5 linked regions of the Mus musculus genome follow. The protein of the gene in region 1 interacts with the protein of each later gene in a pairwise test. Links are inferred from orthologs where the notes say so. Each region holds a gene or a part of one and is shown on either strand. Other genes may lie near its edges. The genes, in order: Ccdc172, Dctn2, Hddc3, Fam13c and Smarce1.

Region 1 (4,010 bases):
GCTGAACTCACCTCGGCCCCTTGCCATGTGTGGAGTGTATATGTAGTCTCTGTGTGTGGTATGTATGTGTATGTGTGTGGGTTATGTGGTGTGTGTGTGTGTGTGTGTGTGTGTGTGTGTGTGTGGTGTGTGAGTGGTATGTGTGTGTGCTGTGTGTGCATGTGTGGTATGTGTGTGTGGGTGTGGTATATGTGTGGTATATGTATGTAGTGTGTTTGTAGTGTGCGTGTGGTAAGTGTGCATGTGTGGTATGTGTGGTATGAGTATTTGGGGGGTGTGTGTGTGGTGTGTGGCATGTGAGCGTATGCCTGTGTGTATGTCCCTTTTCTTCTGTTGACTTCTACTTGCCAACCCAACTTTCAAAGCATCTTAATTCTTCTTCAAGGAAAAGACTGCTCCATGAGGATACTCTCCACCTCTGCCCACCCCACCAGGGTTCCCCACTGTCACTAGCCTACTTTCTCTTTTACCCTGGGAAAAATCAGACCTAGGGCTCAATGAATACTCGTCCCAAATTCTGTTTTAAAAGATAGCCAGTTTCTTTTAGGTGAAGGGGGCAGATAGGAAAGGTTGCTTGGTTAGTAAGTGCTCACAGTTAGGAGGGATAAATACTGGTATTAGAATACATAGCAAGGTGACTATAGTTAATGACATATACTAAAAATTCAAAGATTTGTAGTATTTTCACCACAAACACAGGATAAATGTTGGCACAGATATATTAACCTGGAGTTGAGCATTACAAAATATGTAACAAATAACATGGAACCTATAAACATGCACAACTTTTATTTGTCAAATCATCTAGACCATTCTTTCCTTGTTACCCTCTCTCAGTAGTGAATACACTCGTGCACAATGTTTGCTATGCAACAAACACAAAGAGAATAAAGGTGAATTAAAAGAACTAAGTACGTTCCTCTTAAAGAAACCGGGGCTACAAACACAACTGCATGTTGACAGTTAGCTAAGAGATTTTACAGAGCTGTCTAGGAAGGCTTTAAGATATATGAGCAGGATATGGAAAGAAGAGAGAGCATTCACCACGTGGTAAAAGTGCAAGAATTATTTTATCCACAGAAAACTGAAAACTCCTCACAGATACATGCTAAGTTAATAGAGTAATACTTTATATACATAAATGTATAGCTTATATTTCTGTTAAATATAAATTTATATTTAATATGTAATAAAATGAAGATTTTATTAACAAAATCCTTTGAGTGATTAAGTAAAATAGTCTGCCCCTATGCACTGCTCCCCTAGCTCATCTTTAGGTGTTGGAACATTATCACTGTGGACTCACTGGACACGGAATCCCTCCTGTTGGACTGAGGCCTTCAGCACACCCTCACCATCTTCACTGTCCACCCCCATCTTTGTGATCAGAGCACAAGGAGACCCCTGACAGCACGTTCACTGCCCCCCCTCTGGACAATTCCCTTCCAGCTCTCTCAGCAGCCCTCTGCTGGCGCCCAGAGTCCTCTCTCAATGTGCCTGGGGAAGATCTGCCCCCTACTGCTACCAAAGGTCTCTCCTACTAAATCTCTTTTCTTTCTCAAAAGTCTATCCTTGGTTCAACCTCTTCCTTGAAGCTGTGAGGTTCCCTTGGTCCTATTTTTCAAAAGGCAGAACTTTACAAATGCAGCCAAAGAGAGAAATGAGAGCAGGGAAGAGATTCTTTTGGCTGAGACATACTCAAAAACGTGGTCGTGAACTGAAAAGCAGAAAGCCATCGTTTGAAAGATATATACAGTCTGTTACATCCACATTGCACGCTTAAATTACTTAGTATTTAAAATTCATATGCTGCACTAAGGAACAATTATTCTTCCAAATGACACTTCTCTTATAAACATTAACCATTCCACAAAATGGACAAGGAATTCGGTAAGTCTGGATTCCTTGGAGCCACTTCCTGTTAAGAACTAAAGATAGCGGATTCAGAATCTTAGGTTCTAGACAACATTGAACCACAGTATATAGCTGTTGCGGCTCCTAGCTGAAGGATACGTAGACAGTAAATAGCTCCCCAAAGCCAAGCTCAAGACACTTCTTCAAGTAACCCTTAGCATGTTCTATGCATCAATACCTTGGATTCCAACTTGATTTTCTCTTCACTCAGGTCCTCTGTTGCTTTCTTAATTTTCCCACGACATCTGGTAATCTCCGACCTTACTGTAATACAAACAAAATCTTTACTTGCATTCACCTTTCTGAAGCCTCCATCTTAGGAGCTGTTGGCATGTGAGGTTTCCCTCCAGGTTGCAAACTCCACTCAAGCCTTCCCTTCCCCTCCAGTCTGAGGTGCAAACACCCAGCTCCAAACGCCGAAGGCCCCCCGGGGGCAGGCCCCACCTTCCCGCATCACTCTGCGGCTCTCCTCCGCCTGATGCTCACTGAAGATGATGTGCTGAAACAAGGACTCCAGACTCATCTCCGGCCGGCTCGCCCTTAATATTTGATAAGGGAGTCTGAGGATCCTGGAAAGCACAGCGAAGAGAGAGGGCTGTCCGGCTGCTCCCTGCTGGGCTGCCCGCACCACCCACCCCTGCCCAGTGGAGCCCCATGGGGGAGCTCGGCCTGTTCCTCCATGCTCGCCCACAGCGCGGCCTGCTTCTGTGCTGGGTGCAGCTCCCACAGGAAAGTCTTGGAGAACAGACATGGCAGCCTTGGCTGGGGCCATGCTTCCCTTCCCCAGCTCCCTCGCTCCCCCAGGGGAAGATGCCTGTGGTCAGGGGCTGGCGACGTCCCCTCGTCCCCTCACGTGTGTCCAGCGCAGGCGGCCTCCACTGATCTCGCGAGAAGTCAGCTACGGGAGCCTGGTGGGGCCAGTCTGCAGGGTCTGCGCTCACGGGTCTGGGGTCTTTCTAGAGGTGGGACGCCCAGTCTTCAAGGATTACAAAGTGCAAAGTACCAGTGATTCTAAATATAAACTTTTGCAAAGTCTTATGCTGGGAGGCTCACAAAGACAAACGTACAATATCTGACATTCCGTCGTAATCATTCCTTCGTAATCAGGGCATATTTTTTTTTTTTGTCTGCTCCGAAATTAATCATTGCCTTTTGTAATCAAGCCTTGGTAATATTAACACTTCAATATCTGCACAATGTGTGTCAGAGACCAAAGTGGTTGCTAATTAAGGCTTAAATGTGAAAGGCACCTTTGGGGCTTTTACATGAGTTTTTCTTTCTTCTTTTTTTAATTAAAAAATATTTTCAGTTTCGGTAGCTCAAAATATTGACATTGTAATAAATATTTGACTTTATTATAAATGTAAAACTGACACTGGCTAGACTTTTTAAAGTAACTTTTAGTTTGAATGTGTTTTAAATTATGTAAAATAAGGTAAATGAAATTTTTTGTCACATAGAATAGGCTTAATTAATAGCCCATTAATGCCACAATATAATCAGTTATAAATTCTAACCTATTCTAAATTTCTACCTTAATTTTCATCTGGTCATGTCTGCATAAAGTTTAATGTTTGAACTATCAGAATACACACTGAAATTTGAAATGAAGTTGAAAACAATTACTTGGAGCTATTCAGAAGCAAGTATTGATGAAAATTTTCTCACTATCTTTTGGGTAGCCCTTTTGTTTTTTTGGGTAGATCTTCTGTCTTTTGGGTAGCCCTTCTTGACAAGAACTTCTTATTTACAACCTTGAAGTCCCATGAATAAGGAATAATAACATTATTTTGTTACTTGTGTTTTGATATAATAATTATTATGTAATTCAATATTTATTGTTTGTTTGCTAAGCACTCTCTTTCTGAGCATTCTACATCTATTTGAGATGATTTTTGTCATTTCTTATCTGATATAGTTAAGGAGACAGACTCAAAATATTCCAATAAAAATGAATTCATGAGACTATTCAGTTCAGTCACTATCTGAAACCTTGATGTGTACTAATTCTTTTAATCAAGCCAATTATCCCATTAGAACTATGTTTTTGTTACTTGAAAGGCTAAGTAACTTGCCCACAGTCATGTTTGATCACT
Region 2 (3,515 bases), on another chromosome or scaffold:
ATGCATGAAGTGTGTGTACCACATGCATGCAATGTGTGTGCCACATGCATGCAGTGTGTATATCACATGCATGCAGTGGCCATAGGGGCCTGAAGGGGGTATCAGATCCCATGGGACTAGAGTTACAGATGGTTGGGAGGCCCTAAATGGGTGATGATAATAGAACCTGGATCCTCCAAAGGGGCAGCCAGTGCTCTTAATCTTTCCAGTCACCACTGCCACGTGCCCAGGATAGATTTTAGAACAGCACTGAATTTAACAGTGTTAAATATAGATTTGTATTCCCCAGCTCTGGAAACCTCACAGCCCAGGCACTCAGAAGCCAGGGTATGGACGTTACCTTGATCTTCTCCACCTCAGTTGTCAGCTCTTGGACTTCATGCAGTAGTCGTTGGTACTTCTGCTGCGGTGTCTCCTTCACTCCCAGACCCTCTCCAAGCTAGAGACAAGGAGGAAGTTGATGTTACCTGTCCCATTAGAGGGAGCCCTCGGAGTTAATCCAAACCTTGGACCTAAGTCATAAGGTATCCCTCTACCACCTGGATCCTCACTACCCTCTTACAGAAGAGAGGGAGACAACAGAGATCTGGAGACTCCAGAACTGTAGCAGGGAGCACAACACTCTCAAATGTATTTTGCGTGGATGACACTCAGACAAACTCAGACTAAGACTACATCCCTCAGGCTCAGCAGCTAAGGGCACTGGCTGCCCTCAGAGACCTTCAGTCCCAGCAGCCATAAGGTGAATTACAACCATCTGTAACCTTATTTCTACAGAATCCAATGCTCTCTTCTGGTCTCTCCAAACATCAGGCACACACATGGTACATTCATGCAGGTAAATACTCATTTGCACAATATAAAAATAAATAAATCTTAAAGAAACAAAACAAAAACCAAAGCCAGGTATGGTGGTACAAGACTTTAATCCCAGCACTTGGAAGGCAGAGGCAGATGATTCTCTGAGTTTAAGGCCAGCTTGGTCTACAGAGCAAGTTCCAGGACAGCCAGGGCTACACAGAGAAACCCTGTCTTGAAACAACAACAAAAACACAACAAAATAATAATAATCCCCAAGGCAAAAAACAAAGACAAAAAAATAAGAGAGAGAGAAATTTAAAATAAAGAAACAAAGCCCCAAACTTAACACTGCTCACTCCCCTGCAGGCCTGCTCTAGGCTCACCCCACGGTCATCACACAACAAACCATTTCATAGTCTCCAGACTCATATCCTGTCCTCTTGGTCTTTCCAATGCGATCTGAGAAATCTGTCAAGAGAAGAAGACTACTGAATGAGCTGGTCTAGGCCCAGTTCAGCCCCAGACCAAGGTGACTGTGAGGGCTGGTCCCAGAAGGCTCCACAAGGGATCGGATCCGCAGGGCTCAGGCAGCTTGTTCGCTCTCTAGGACCACGCCCGCATCCCCTCCCCAAGCCTCCAGCCCAGGCTCACCAAGCCCCTTTGTTCCCACTCTCTTGTCCTTGAACTTGTCGTAGGCAGCGTTGGGGTTGACAATGATGTGTTCCACGCTTGTGCTGCTCAGTTCCTCCTGAGGGGACAGGGACCTTAGCATTTCTTCTATCCCACAAAGCCCCCAAACTACTAAGCCACTGCACTCTATTTTTCCAAGGAGAAAGAAGGGGGGCTCCATTCCAAGCCTCCCACCCAGGCTCAGCCTGGGAAAGAGAAGCCTCCTGGTAAAGCTGGAGCCTTGGTAGTATAAGTATTAACACCCTGATTTAGCTAGGGACAGAGGCAGTGTAGCCTCCCCCACCCACTCTGTACATAAGCCTCCCTCCCTCAGCCTCTCCCAGTTATCTGGCATACACCATGCACTCAGGGCAAGAAACAAACTTGACCTCTCCTAACCTCCCCCTCCCAAAAGTAAATCTTCTTCCCTGGCTAAACAAGTCCATAGAGCTGACTCTTCGCCCATGCTGGACGGGGAGGAGGAGGCAAGGGCAATATTCTCAATGTAAAATGGCAGGTTTAATCTGTACAAGGTAAGATACCAACTCATAGATAGAAGAGGACTATTGGCAGAGTGTGTGCTTAGAAGCCTGGTTTCTGGGCTACTGTGGGGCCAGACAGCTCGGGATATGGAGGAGCAGCGACAGCTCAGCGGGTTACTATTAAAGGGACACCTTACAAGTATCCCAGGAGCACCTTAGGCAAGGGCTGGACATAGCCCCCAGCACTGAGAAGCGTGGCATGTGCCCCTGCTACTAGACCACTCTGTTGCACCCAAACAATCAAGTCAGGCACATGCAGAGAGGGAACACTGTACCCTAGACCTGAGGGTGACACTCCTTACACATCAACAACTACATCTTCCAACCAGGGAAGGTCACTACAGTGCTGAAGGAAGGGAGGTGCCTAGGAGTGCTGTTTTGTTAGGGGTTGACATCTCCCTGAATCTAGGAAATGAAGCTCAATCGGGTTGTTGCACATTAGAGTCTCTTAGAAAAGCCTGCCTGCCTGCCTTCCTTCCTCCCTCCCTCCCTGCCTTCCTTCCTCCCTCCCTCCCTGCCTTCCGTCCTCCCTCCATCCCTTCCTTCCTGGAGAAGAAAAAGAACAGGCCTGGGCCCATCTCTTAGGTGTGAGCTTAGGTGCTCTCTCTGCCTGTGTGTGGGTGTGTGGGGAGCAGGGAGGAGAACCAGGACAGGAGAGAGAGCACTGGCTGCAAGGAGGGTCCATCCTCCCCTCTCCAGAGTCACAGGGGGAACGTGGCGGGCATGGGCGGCAGCCTCGGGCTGAGGACAAGAGAGAAGGCGAGGACAAAGCAGCAGCTTCCCTCCCTTCAGGCAGCTGTTAGGCAGAGGGACAAGACAAGGGCCCAGTGGAGAGAAGAGACATCGGAGTCCCCCTCACCCCTTCCCCTCAGAAGTCCCCACTTGCCAAGTAGCCCTGTGGTTTCTGGTCTCTAAACTGCCTAAGGATAGCAGCTCAAGACAGGCAAGCATAGCTGTGCTGCTGGCTCCCGGAAACATGGTTTCTCTCCATAAAAGCCAACAAGGCAGAGGCCCCTTTTCAGACAAGCATGGTGGCACAGGTGTGTAATCCCAGCACCCAGGAAGACGCTCACACTGTAATCCCAGCGTTTGGGAGGCTGAAGCAGAAGGATAGCTGCAAGTCTGCAGCCAGCCTGGTCTTCACTCTGAGTTCCAGGTCAGCTAGGATCCCAAGACTCTACTCAAAAACAAAACCAAAAAAACTAACTTCTTAAAAAGATGGCCAGACAGCAGCAGAAGACACTTTTAATCCCAGCACCAAGCAGGCTGGGTCACTTTGAGTTCCAGGTCGAGCTAGTCTATAGAGTGAGATCCCATCTTAAAAGAAGAAAAGAAGCGGATGAGAGGCTGGTGCTGTCACTTGGTGCTGGAGGACTGACCTTGCAGGCTTCAGCCCCTGCGCTAGACCTCTGCTACCACCAACACACAAATGAAAAAAGAAAAGGAAAGGAAAAGGCACGGGGCACAACCTGAAGAGAAAGTGCTCTGTGAGGGACAGAGGGA
Region 3 (4,019 bases), on another chromosome or scaffold:
TGAGCCTTATCTCCCCAGCTGCCAGCCCAGACACAAAAGCTACCTGCCTGGTGGAATACACTTAGCAGCTGGCTGTCTCCACTTCTCAGAACCCTTTGGGGAGATGCCAAGGTCTTGCTTATCCCTCATACTTCAGAGCTGCCAACGCCAAGACGGGATTTCTCCAGAAGATCCAAAGCTCGATGGCCGGTAAAGAGAGAAGGATTGTTCCAGTGCCTACCCAAGCTAGGCAACACTATGCTCCTGAAACCGCGGGGACAAGACTCACTACCTCAAGGGCCCAGAGCAGAGGTCTGGGGACTGAAGCAGGCTCCCTCATGATTCAAGAGATGAATGCAAACGGTTTCTGTAGAAACAGTGTTGTGTCCCAGGAGCCCACATCTGAAGCAATTAAGCAAGATCCAACTCTCCAGGTCAAATCCTAGCATCTCTAGGGCCAAGATGTTAGGTTCAGATGCCCAAGATAACAGAGACTGACCCTGTGAGGAGAGCGATGTTTGGAGCACGTTGAAAACGGTCTGGGTGTTGTGCCAGGCTGTAGATGGCCTTTTTCTCGTGGAAGACGCTGTCTCTGCCTCCCAGGCTAGATAAAATGGGCTTTCCCCCCACGATCCCACGGCCACCCGTGCCTTCCAGCTCTGTACCCAGCACTCTGTGAAACTATCACTTTTGGTTTTGTCTCCCTTTTCTGCAAAGACTGTTAGTTCTACTACGTCCTGGGGCATGGTGGGGAGAACGCTGCACCAGCCGCTGTGATTGTTGAAAACTTCTATATCCAGGATCTCGGTCTTTAAAGAACCTCCGTTGAGAATGGGATGATGGTTCAGTGGGTAAAGTGCTTGCTGCACAAGAATAAGGACTTGCATTCTTTCAGATTATTGCAATAGCCAGGTAAAAAAGCTGGGGATGGCAACCTACGCCTGTTGTACTGTGGAGGCAGAGACAGGAGACTCCTTGAAACTCGTTCGGTAGCTAGTCTTGCTAAATACCTGGGCTACAGGTTCAAGGAGAGTCTTTGTCTCCAAAAACTAAGGTGGAGACTTATAGCCTCTATAATCCACACGCACGCGCACACACGTTGGGGGAGGGGGGATGAATGAATTACAGCTTGTTAGAAATAGTTCCGTTCTCCGAGCCTCCGAAGCGCCAGGCGGCGCTATAGGTGATTTGTTCGGACTCCGAAGCTTCAGTCCCTCGCGCCACCAGCGCAATGGGCTCGGAGGCAGCTCAGCTGCTGGAGGCTGCTGACTTCGCCGCTCACAAACACCGACAGCAGCGACGAAAAGATCCTGAAGGGACTCCCTACATTAATCACCCCATCGGTGGGCGCGCCAGTTGGGAAGCAGCCCTCGCGGCCCGTGGCGGGTGGGGACTAACTGGGACGGGAACACAAAGCGCATATAAATTACTGAGCGCCTTCTTCGAGTCCCAAGCGTTGTATCAACCACTTTTCATGCGTTATGCGTGTAAGCCTCACCTGGGGTAGAAGGCAGGAGTGCTCCCTTGGTACAGTCGATATCCCAAGAGGGTAAGGGACTTTCCAAGGTCATCCAGCTGGTGAGGTGCTACATCTGGCTCCTTCTAGACTGACTTCTGCTTTGCCCCTGCCAGGTGTAGCCCGGATCCTAACCCATGAGGCTGGAATCACTGATATTGTGGTGTTACAGGTAAGGCTACCCTTCTCTGCCAGGAGGCTGGTGCGGGAAACCAGAGTACTGTTGAACAATGGGTGCTATTTATTTGGCTAGTAGGTTAGTGTCACTGGGCTGAATGGTAACCTATCCCCAGGCCGCCCTGCTCCATGACACAGTAGAAGACACAGATACTACCCTGGATGAGGTAGAGCTGCACTTTGGAGCACAGGTTCGACGCTTGGTGGAGGAGGTAACAGATGACAAGACTCTGCCCAAACTGGAAAGAAAGCGGCAACAGGTGGAGCAGGCACCACACAGCAGCCCAGGGGCCAAACTGGTGAAGCTGGCAGACAAGCTATACAATCTGAGGGACCTGAATCGCTGCACCCCTACAGGTATGCTCTCCTACTGGCTCTGAGGAGAGAGGGGGAGGGGATGGCCAGCTTCTGAAAATACAGGTTGGTTAGATTCCCAGAAATAAGTCGGGGGGTAGAGTGGGGAGGGGTGGTCGTAACACCTCCGACTAAACCTCTGTCTTAGTCAGGGTTTCTATTCCTGCACAAACATCATGACCAAGAAGCAAGTTGGATCTCATGGAGGCATTTCCTCAACAGAAGCTCCTTTCTCCGTGATAACTCCAGCTGTGTCAAGTTGACACAAAATTAGCCAGTACAATTGACCCCTTGTCAACTTGACACACAAAAACATCACTAGTAAGCCTCAACCCTTACAATCTTATTCATCCCCAAGATCTAAATAACTTTAAAAGTCCCACAGCCTTTACATATTCTTAAAATTTCAATCTCTTTAAAATATCCATCTCTTTTAAAATCCAAAGTCTTTTTACAATTAAAAGTCTCTTAACTGTGGGCTCCACTAAAACAGTTTCTTCCTTCAAGAGGGAAAATATCAGGGCACAGTCACAATCAAAAGCAAAAGTCAATCTCCAACCGTCCAATGTCTGGGATCCAACTCACGATCTTCTGGGCTCCTCCAAGGGCTTGGGTAACTTCTCCAGCCAGGCCCTTTGTAGCACACGCATCGTCCTCTAGGCTCCAGATGCCTGTACCCCACTGCTGCTGCTGCTCTTGGTGGTCATCTCATGGTACTGGCATCTCCAAAACACTGCATGACCCCTTCAGTCCTGGGCCTTCAATTGCAACTGAGGCTGCACCTTCACCAATGGCCTTCCATGGCCTCTCACAGTACCGAACCTCAGCTGCTTTGCGTGACCCCTTCATGCCTTCAAAACCAGTACCACCTGGGTGACCCTTACATATTACCAAGTCCCACTGCAGCAGGAGTACATCCTTGGCCATCTCTGGAACACTGCCTCTTTGTGCTTTCAGAAAACACTTCCCAGAAGATGTCACCTCAATGATGCTGGTCTCTTCTTAATCACCGCTAATTTCTTAGCTCCAGCTAACCAGCATCAATAGTCCCAGTAATGCAAAGTTTTTGCTTGGTAGTTCTGGTATCTTGTTAATCACAGCTGATTCTTCAGCCCCAGCTAACCAGAACTACAGAATCTTCACAAACAAAACAGCAATGGCCCTGAAAAGAGTCTTTAATTTTCCCTCTGAAATTTCACAAACCAGAGCTCCATCTTCTGCAGTGTTCTCAACATTATCTTCCAAGCTCCTACATGACATCCGACAGAGCTCTTAACAACGGATGGATCTTCAAGCCCAAAGTTCCAAAGTCCTTCCACAGTCCTCCCCAAAACATGGTCAGATTGTCACAGGAATACCCCACTCCTGGTACCAATTTGTCTTAGTCAGGGTTTCTATTCCTGCACAAACATCATGACCAAGAAGCAAGTTGGATCTCATGGAGGCATTTCCTCAACAGAAGCTCCTTTCTCCGTGATAACTCCAGCTGTGTCAAGTTGACACAAAATTAGCCAGTACAACCTCCTAGAATAGTCTTCTTCCCTAAGGTGGGAACAGAGTTGCTGGGTCATGGAGAAGTTGTCAGATCATGCCATCGCAACTCACGGCCTTGTACCAAAGCCTGCCAGGAAACAGGCAAAAGCCGATGCTGCCCTTGACACCACACAAGCAGGTTTCTGTCCACTCTGGTGCAGGATGGTCAGAACACCGAGTCCAGGAGTACTTCGAGTGGGCAGCCCAGGTGGTAAAAGGGCTTCAAGGGACAAACCAGCAACTGGAAGAGGCACTAAAGCAGCTGTTCGAGGAGCGAGGGCTGACGCTCTGAGCCGTTCTCTGTGCCATCCTGCAGCATGGCTCCAGCAAGGTCCAGGAAAGATGGGATTCTTACTGCAGCGTTCCAGAGCCTCCTCATTTCCCACATTCCATCACTCAACCCTGACATCACAGGCTAAAAACGTCTGTGTTTTTTCACTAAGGTGGGCCCGGAATATGG
Region 4 (4,139 bases), on another chromosome or scaffold:
AAAACAAAACGAAAAGGATTCTGCCCCTTGATTCCTAATTCCACTCTTCCTGTGACTCTTCCCAGGACCTCCAGCTGGGGAGACAGAGCCCTGGCTCAGTGGGACACTGTCTTAGGCTCAGGTATGAAGACCTGAATGTGAGTCCCCAGCAACCACTTTAAAGTCAGTCCATCCTAGTGGTGGTACCTATAAAGCCTTGGGTCTGGGGATGGATGGAGACCGGAGGATTCCCCAGAGCTCATTGGCCAGTCTTAACCCATCATAAACTCCAAGTTCAGTGAGAAATGAGGTTGAATGAAATCAAAGGAGACATAGGATGTTAACCTCTGACCTCCAAAGGCTCCCTCATGCACACACTGTATGAGCGCACACGGCACACATATGCATACACACACAGGCGCGCGCGCACATACAAATAATCACGACTGGTCAAGCAGCATCCTCTCACATAAGTCTATCTGATAAAATAATTCATAGGGAACTCTAATGACTGCTTGGATGCGCCTTCCAAGGCACAGAGTTTTTAATTTCCATTTTAATAAGGATCAACACCAGAGGCCTGAACTTTCAGTGGTCTGGAGAGGAGGCACTGGACATGGGTGAAGACAGGAGCCAGAGGATCTTTGCCTCTCAGAAACATTGAAGAGGAAAGAACCTCCTCGGGACAGACTAACATGGCACCCAAACACTTCCAGGACAAGCTGCTATGTCTGTGTCTCAGGATAGCACCCTCTGGTCCTGCCGGGAGTCCACAGACCCAGGAACAGTTTCATATTATTGAGAGGAGAAGATGAACAATGTTCCGTTTTGACAACCACTGGTTTAGGACGCCCCTCAGCTGAGCCGGGTCACACCTGTGGGGCTTTGGGTGTGTTGCAAGTTCCTTAGATTCTTGCATTAGCCAGATGGCTTCCCAGACACTACTCACAGCCTTTTAAAAGGAACCTCTGTCACTTCTCTGAGGGTAACGTGATCTTATGCAATCAGAACTCCTTGGGGAGTATCCAAGGACAAGACACCAAGAGTCTCCCCAGCATTTAACCATAACAAACACACACACACACACACACACACACACACACACACACACCATATGAAAGCTGGAACTAAAAGTCTCCATCTTGAAACTCCTGGGCCTGTGACTATGGCTGACTCTAGGAATACAGCCACACAACACTCCCAAGAATCAGGCCCAGAAAAACATGTGGTGCCAAGGAACCCAGAGGAAAAGAGAGATGTTACCTGACCACTTATCCAGGAAATTCAGGCCTCATCCTTGGCCCACAGGTATCTCTCCCCACCTCTCTCTTTCTCTATCTTTCTATTGCAAGGCAATGTCACTATCGTGTCCAGGGTTCCAGTGGACAGGCCATAGTGAATCATTGAAAGTCAACCTGGTCCTTATTTTAAAGAGACCCCACTTAGATGAGCTCAAAGCGGGGTACTAAGTCAGTAGCAAACCAGACAAGCAAAAGTGCATGGGGAAGAGGCCCAGAAAGCACAGTGGAACCTCAGCCCTCCCTCTCCAAGTCTCTGCAACAGTGGCAGGATCTGAAAGCCAAAAGATGCTCTCGTCACTGTTCAGGTTTCTTTAGCAAACAGCTTCTAAGCCACTTGTAGCCTCTGTATGAAACTCACAATTCTCTTAAGTAGTGGGATACACAACTTTGCGCATGCACACACACACACAGCCTGCTGCAAAAAGCTTTTACCGAGTAGCTTTTACCAAAAGGTCCCAGAAGTAAACACTAATTTCCCTACGATAAAATGGAATACATATAGTTTATACTCCCAGCTATATGTGAATTGCATACAGTGCCAGCAAAATCTACTCCACGTTCACCTCTGATATATAGATTCTATTAAGAAAATACTAAGGAAGAGATGACCAAAATAAAAACAAAGCACTATCAATATCAACACACACACACACACACACACACACACACGCACACACACGGGCTGGCCTAGAGTAAAACATTATTTCCCTTCCCTCCACTATGAACTGTTATTAGGTTGTTAGTCAGGCAAGGCGTTTCTCTATAGTCACATTATTGTGGCCAGACGAGAAAAATCACAAAAAGGCATCTAGAAAAGTTTACCGCACTGTGTCTTAAAAATCTGTACACACGGAGAGGGAAGGTGAGTTTACCCTGTTTAAATATGCTGGAATTAAACTCCTGCTAGCTCACATCCGTCTATTTGGGGCAAATGTACACTGCGTGCACTCCATGAAAACTGACACTCATGTTGGCAAAATACAACCCAGCTTCCTTTCTGACATGTCACATAGATTTTTTTTTAAGCTAAGCTCCAAGATTGCATATTTTGGGCCACGGAGCCTCCCGCAGCAATCAAGCTAGGTTTATTACTCCCCCCACCCCCCGCTTCCGCTCCTCACTCCCTACCCCCGCGCACCCTCCACCCCGAGCTGCCAAAATACTGGCTGCAACCTGTGTGAGGTTTGTGGGCCCCGCCAGCCTCGCAGCCTCAGGATCCAGGAGACAATGCATCGCCTGGAAAGAGGGCTTGGGGACAGGGGTGGGGTGGGGTGGAGTGGGGTGGCAGCGGGAGGGGATACCTTCACCATAGTTGCTTCGGAGACAGGAATGCAAGTCGATTGTAAGGGCAAGAAGCACTTACTCAGTTACAGCGGCGCTGCCGAAGGAATTATCCTGAAGGCTGAAACAGAAACAAGAAAACATGAGCCAAGTGCGGCCGGGGAGCCGTCTCCCTAATTGCTCTCCCGGAGTTAGAGCACCCACACAAACATGGCATTGCCAGGCAAGTCTTAGGGCTCGCCCGGCACGCTCGCTCTACCTTGGGCTGCTGTCTGCACATGCTCCTGACGACACCCCCAGCAGGGGCCCAGCGGCACCGGCGAACCACAAAGCCCAGCAGCCCGCGAGGCTGCGGGGACGATGGGGCGGGGCGCGGCGGCGCGCGACCGGGGGCTTCAGCCTCAGGAACCTGGAGCTGCTCCGCGCAACCCTGGTAGGCAGCTAGGAGCTACAGAGAGTCCAAGCTGCTTGAGCCTGCCACCTCAGCCTCAGCTGGCAATACAGATTGCGTCGTCCCCCCCACCCCCCAGTGGATACAATGCCCGCCTCCCATGGCTTGTTACCTCCCCAGCCCCCACCCCACCCTAGGGATGCAAACGAGCAAAGATGCTTCTGTCGCTTTTCCTGAAAGCATGGAGAGATCGAGAAGGAGGAGAGGGATATGGATGCTGAGTTTTGATTTATTTTCACTGTGTGTTGGTTTTTATTGCCTAGAACAAAAGGGCTCCCAAGGGCGGGCTGCATCCCGACAGGTCCGTCTGCGCTCTTGTTATTTTACTCCGCTAGAGGAAGCGCCCAGCGCAGGACCACAGAGATGTGAATGAACCTATGCAGGCGAATGTAGAATGCTTTCCAGGCCTTCGCTGATGCCTAGGACACCGTGCCAGGCGGGGAGATGGACTCCTACCCCCACAGCAGCCCCGCACCTTCACAAAGGATGGAATGACAACTCACAAACGTTGTTCCCTTTGATGGAGTCTACTTTGTTGGGGGAAGGGAGGGCCGGTCAGCCCCACCCCCACCCCGCTTTATTCTTGCTTGGAGATGTTTACCCTGCCCCGTTCCCATTGTCCATGTTTCCTGACATGTTGACCTTGACTTGGAAAGACCTGCCTCTGAATTTTGAAATACGATCACAGACTTACGTGTTGAACTATACTATGCATGTGTTCTTAATCCTACTGTCCCATGGAACTAGGTTCTAGATGGCAACGTGAAGTCTAATCACAGGATATCTTCCTGTCCTCAGATCCAAAGACTGTCACTTTCCCAAACGCCCCTGCGCTCGAGGGCTGTGGTGCCCATTCTGGGTAGTTCAGTGTGAAGAAAGACCAGCCTTTTGATTGCGTAAACATCTCCAGTGATTCATCTAGAACAGAAGGAACAATGCTTTCACCTGAAAAACAGCAGTTGATATGAATATGCTGTGGACCAGTTGAAAATATAATGAACCCTCTGAGAGGCCCAACAAGCAGCTGAAAGAGTCAGATGCAGATACTAGCACCCAACCAATGGACAGAAGCGGGGGACCCCTGTGGATGAATTGGGGAAAAGCTGGAAGAAGCTGAGGAGGAGGGC
Region 5 (2,751 bases), on another chromosome or scaffold:
GCCCTTCTGGCTTCCTTTTAATGTGACGTTTAAACCAAGTCTCCAGAAAATATTTCAGTGTTATCTATCAATATTTTTAAACTTATTAACATTCTAGGCTAGAGAGAAAGCTGAGTAGATTGGACCTGAGCTCCTATGTAAAAAGCATGGTAGCGCATGCTCATGATCCAGGACTGGGGAGATAGAGATGGGCAGCTCCCAAGGCTCGTTGGCCTGCCAGCCTAGCCTGCCTGGTCACTTCCAGGTCAGTGGGAGAGCCTGTCTCAAAAACGTGCACAGTGACTGAGGAGCAGAACTTGTCTCCTCTGACTCACGGACACACGCAAGGCTGTGACTGTCTTACATTCTGTTGTCGTAGCAAAGCTTTGAAATCCAGTGTGTATTTTATATACTTTTTAAAAATAATTTATTTTTATTTGATGTACATTGGTGATTTGACTGCATGTATCTCTGTGTAAGTGTTGGTCTGGATCTCCTGGAACAGGAGTTACAGACAGTTGTGAGCTGCTGATTGACTGTGCCCTGATATTTTCCCTCTTGAAGGAAGAAACTGTTTTAGTGGAGCCCATAGTTAAGAGAGTTTTAATTGTAAAAAGACTTTGGATTTTAAAAGAGATGGGTATTTTAAAGAGATTGAAATTTTAAGAATATGTAAAGACTGTGGGACTTTTAAAGTTATTTAGATCTTGTGGGTGCTGGAAACTGAACCTGGATCCAATTGAAGAGTAGCCAGTGCTCTTAACCACTGATCCACCTCTCCAGCCCCTTTCATATACTTCCTAATTTCAAAATCTCAATTCTCACCACGAATGTGTTTGGTATGTATTTAAATTTTGTAATACTGTAGGTAAAAATGTAGATTTTTGTACCCTGAGCTGTCTCAAATATTGGTAAATACTCCTGAATCATATTAGGTCATCTCAGGGCTTCTCCACGTGTGGCTGTCCAATGCCATCAGAATAGTTAAGAGTGAATGTTTTTCTTGGAACTGATGGTGGTAAATGTATGGTTTCAGAGGAGACACACCTTGAAGACACAGCAGAGAGCCAGCAGAATGGTGAAGAAGGCACGTCTACTCCTGAGGACAAGGAGAGTGGGCAGGAGGGGGTTGACAGCATGGAGGTGGAAGGGACCAGTGACAGTAACACGGGCTCAGAGAGCAACAGCGCCACAGTGGAGGAGCCGCCCACAGACCCAGTGCCAGAAGACGAGAAGAAGGAGTAAATGTTGCCTTGTTTTATGTGACCTAAAACTTTTTTAAATGAAAAAAAAATGTGGTTTTTTTTTTGGTTTTAATGGTGTTATGTGGTCTGTGTATTAATTATTTACTTTTCCGTTGATACAACATGAAGGTCTTTGAACCCTCAGCATCATAGCCTAATGCCAGCCGCTCACCTTTCTTAGCTCTCAACGTCTGAAACCTCAGAGCTGAGATTAATCAAGACACCCATCATTCTCTGAGAACTACCTTGGCTGCTGCAGAATCGACTCTTCCAAATACCTGCCTTCAGCTCACGTGGTGCTCACCAAAGCCATAGCTTTAAACCCTTCCAGCCCATCCACAGCTTTCCCAGTCCCTGTCTTGTGTACTTACACAGAGTGCCCTCTTGAAATCATGAGGGGGTCTCTTCACTCACCCTTTCTATGTCCCATGTCAGACACCAGGAGTTCTCTTACAGGGTAGGGTGTAGCCAGAAACTGGTGAGACACAGATCACAGAGATGCCTCTGGGGGCACTGGGGGTGGGGGAGCAGGGGGAGTACAGTTGTTCTTTCTGTGGATTCCTTGTTGGTGAGAGCTGCGCCTGCTTATCTAGAGTGCTGTTCAGTGTAGTCGATCTGGGATGTGTTCTGGGAAATTCATCCTTTTTGTACAGGGGAAAGAAACACTTTTTTTTACCAGATTGGCTTTCCAAAGACACGATAGATGGCAGAGCTTAAGGAATGGAATGTTCTTATAATGGACTACAGACTTCAAAGTGATTGGCCCATTCCAAAAGGAAAATGGGAATGCTGTTCATCCATGTGAGCATACTTCACAGTGATGAAAACCTCAAGACTCGAGATCCCATAGATCAGAGCCGAACCTACTTTTTTGATAACCCCTGTAGTGGTCTTAGAGACTAGAAACAAGATAGTTTGTAGTGTGTGCTCCCTAAAATCTAGAATAGATTTTTACTGAATAGTGGTATATATGATGGTATATGTTTCTTAAAGGTCCAAACATAATAAAGAAATTAAGACAAAGGTCTCAGTGTTTTTATTGCACTGTGGAAGATAATATGTAGACATAATTTGGTCACTATGATACAGGGACATCATGGAATGATCCATGGTCATAAGATGTCACTTTTAGGAACCTTGCCTCATGAACTGTCAGTATCAATAGGACTGAAGAAATCTCAGTAGTGTGCAAGAAGTGTGGCCAGTAAGTGAATAGAGCCTGTGCTCATGGAGAGACGGCACCTGCACCCACACTTGAGTAACTGCCGGTATAGACACAGCATTGAGCAGTTCCCTGAGAGGAAGCCTGATGTGTGGGGTCATCCTTGGGCCAGTTTTTCTGTGATTCTACAGTTGCTTGAGAGTCAAACAATTTTTTGTTGTTTTTTTTTTCAAAACAGGATTTCTCTGTGTAGCCTTGTCTACCCTGGCAAAGAACTTTCCTATCAACGGGTCTGTTTGGGGTTTTGAGCATGTAGGGCTAAGAATTCAAACCATCTTATCTCAGACAAATTGGATAGCCACAAAT

Evidence for each region.
Region 2: the proteins of Ccdc172 (region 1) and Dctn2 interact in binary tests that used the Homo sapiens proteins (3 or more experiments, as listed by UniProt). The two-hybrid records come from large-scale screens. The link is inferred for Mus musculus from reciprocal best matches to the Homo sapiens genes CCDC172 and DCTN2.
Region 3: the proteins of Ccdc172 (region 1) and Hddc3 interact in binary tests that used the Homo sapiens proteins (3 or more experiments, as listed by UniProt). The two-hybrid records come from large-scale screens. The link is inferred for Mus musculus from reciprocal best matches to the Homo sapiens genes CCDC172 and HDDC3.
Region 4: the proteins of Ccdc172 (region 1) and Fam13c interact in binary tests that used the Homo sapiens proteins (3 or more experiments, as listed by UniProt). The two-hybrid records come from large-scale screens. The link is inferred for Mus musculus from reciprocal best matches to the Homo sapiens genes CCDC172 and FAM13C.
Region 5: the proteins of Ccdc172 (region 1) and Smarce1 interact in binary tests that used the Homo sapiens proteins (3 or more experiments, as listed by UniProt). The two-hybrid records come from large-scale screens. The link is inferred for Mus musculus from reciprocal best matches to the Homo sapiens genes CCDC172 and SMARCE1.

The regions. Positions count from the first base shown.
Region 1 is NC_000085.6:58,510,785-58,514,794, reverse strand, and holds the start of Ccdc172 (coiled-coil domain-containing protein 172), read right to left. Parts: upstream 2,811-4,010; 5' UTR 2,729-2,810; exon of another isoform or gene 2,687-2,728; coding exon of another isoform or gene 2,438-2,686; coding exon 2,359-2,437; intron 2,179-2,358; coding exon 2,093-2,178; intron 1-2,092.
Region 2 is NC_000076.6:127,272,748-127,276,262, reverse strand, and holds part of Dctn2 (dynactin subunit 2), read right to left. Parts: intron 1,550-3,515; coding exon 1,453-1,549; intron 1,270-1,452; coding exon 1,208-1,269; intron 440-1,207; coding exon 341-439; intron 1-340. UniProt on the Homo sapiens protein: Part of the dynactin complex that activates the molecular motor dynein for ultra-processive transport along microtubules. In the dynactin soulder domain, binds the ACTR1A filament and acts as a molecular ruler to determine the length.
Region 3 is NC_000073.6:80,341,928-80,345,946, forward strand, and holds the start of Hddc3 (guanosine-3',5'-bis(diphosphate) 3'-pyrophosphohydrolase MESH1), read left to right. Parts: upstream 1-1,209; 5' UTR 1,210-1,210; coding exon 1,211-1,322; intron 1,323-1,611; coding exon 1,612-1,667; intron 1,668-1,788; coding exon 1,789-2,029; intron 2,030-2,174; coding exon of another isoform or gene 2,175-2,300; exon of another isoform or gene 2,301-2,983; coding exon of another isoform or gene 2,984-3,015; exon of another isoform or gene 3,016-3,249; coding exon of another isoform or gene 3,250-3,302; exon of another isoform or gene 3,303-3,720; coding exon 3,721-3,851; 3' UTR 3,852-4,019. UniProt on the Homo sapiens protein: ppGpp hydrolyzing enzyme involved in starvation response.
Region 4 is NC_000076.6:70,439,580-70,443,718, reverse strand, and holds the start of Fam13c (protein FAM13C), read right to left. Parts: upstream 2,810-4,139; 5' UTR 2,706-2,809; coding exon 2,644-2,705; exon of another isoform or gene 2,582-2,643; intron 1-2,581.
Region 5 is NC_000077.6:99,208,542-99,211,292, reverse strand, and holds the end of Smarce1 (SWI/SNF-related matrix-associated actin-dependent regulator of chromatin subfamily E member 1), read left to right. Parts: intron 1-1,015; coding exon 1,016-1,224; 3' UTR 1,225-2,246; downstream 2,247-2,751. UniProt on the Homo sapiens protein: Involved in transcriptional activation and repression of select genes by chromatin remodeling (alteration of DNA-nucleosome topology).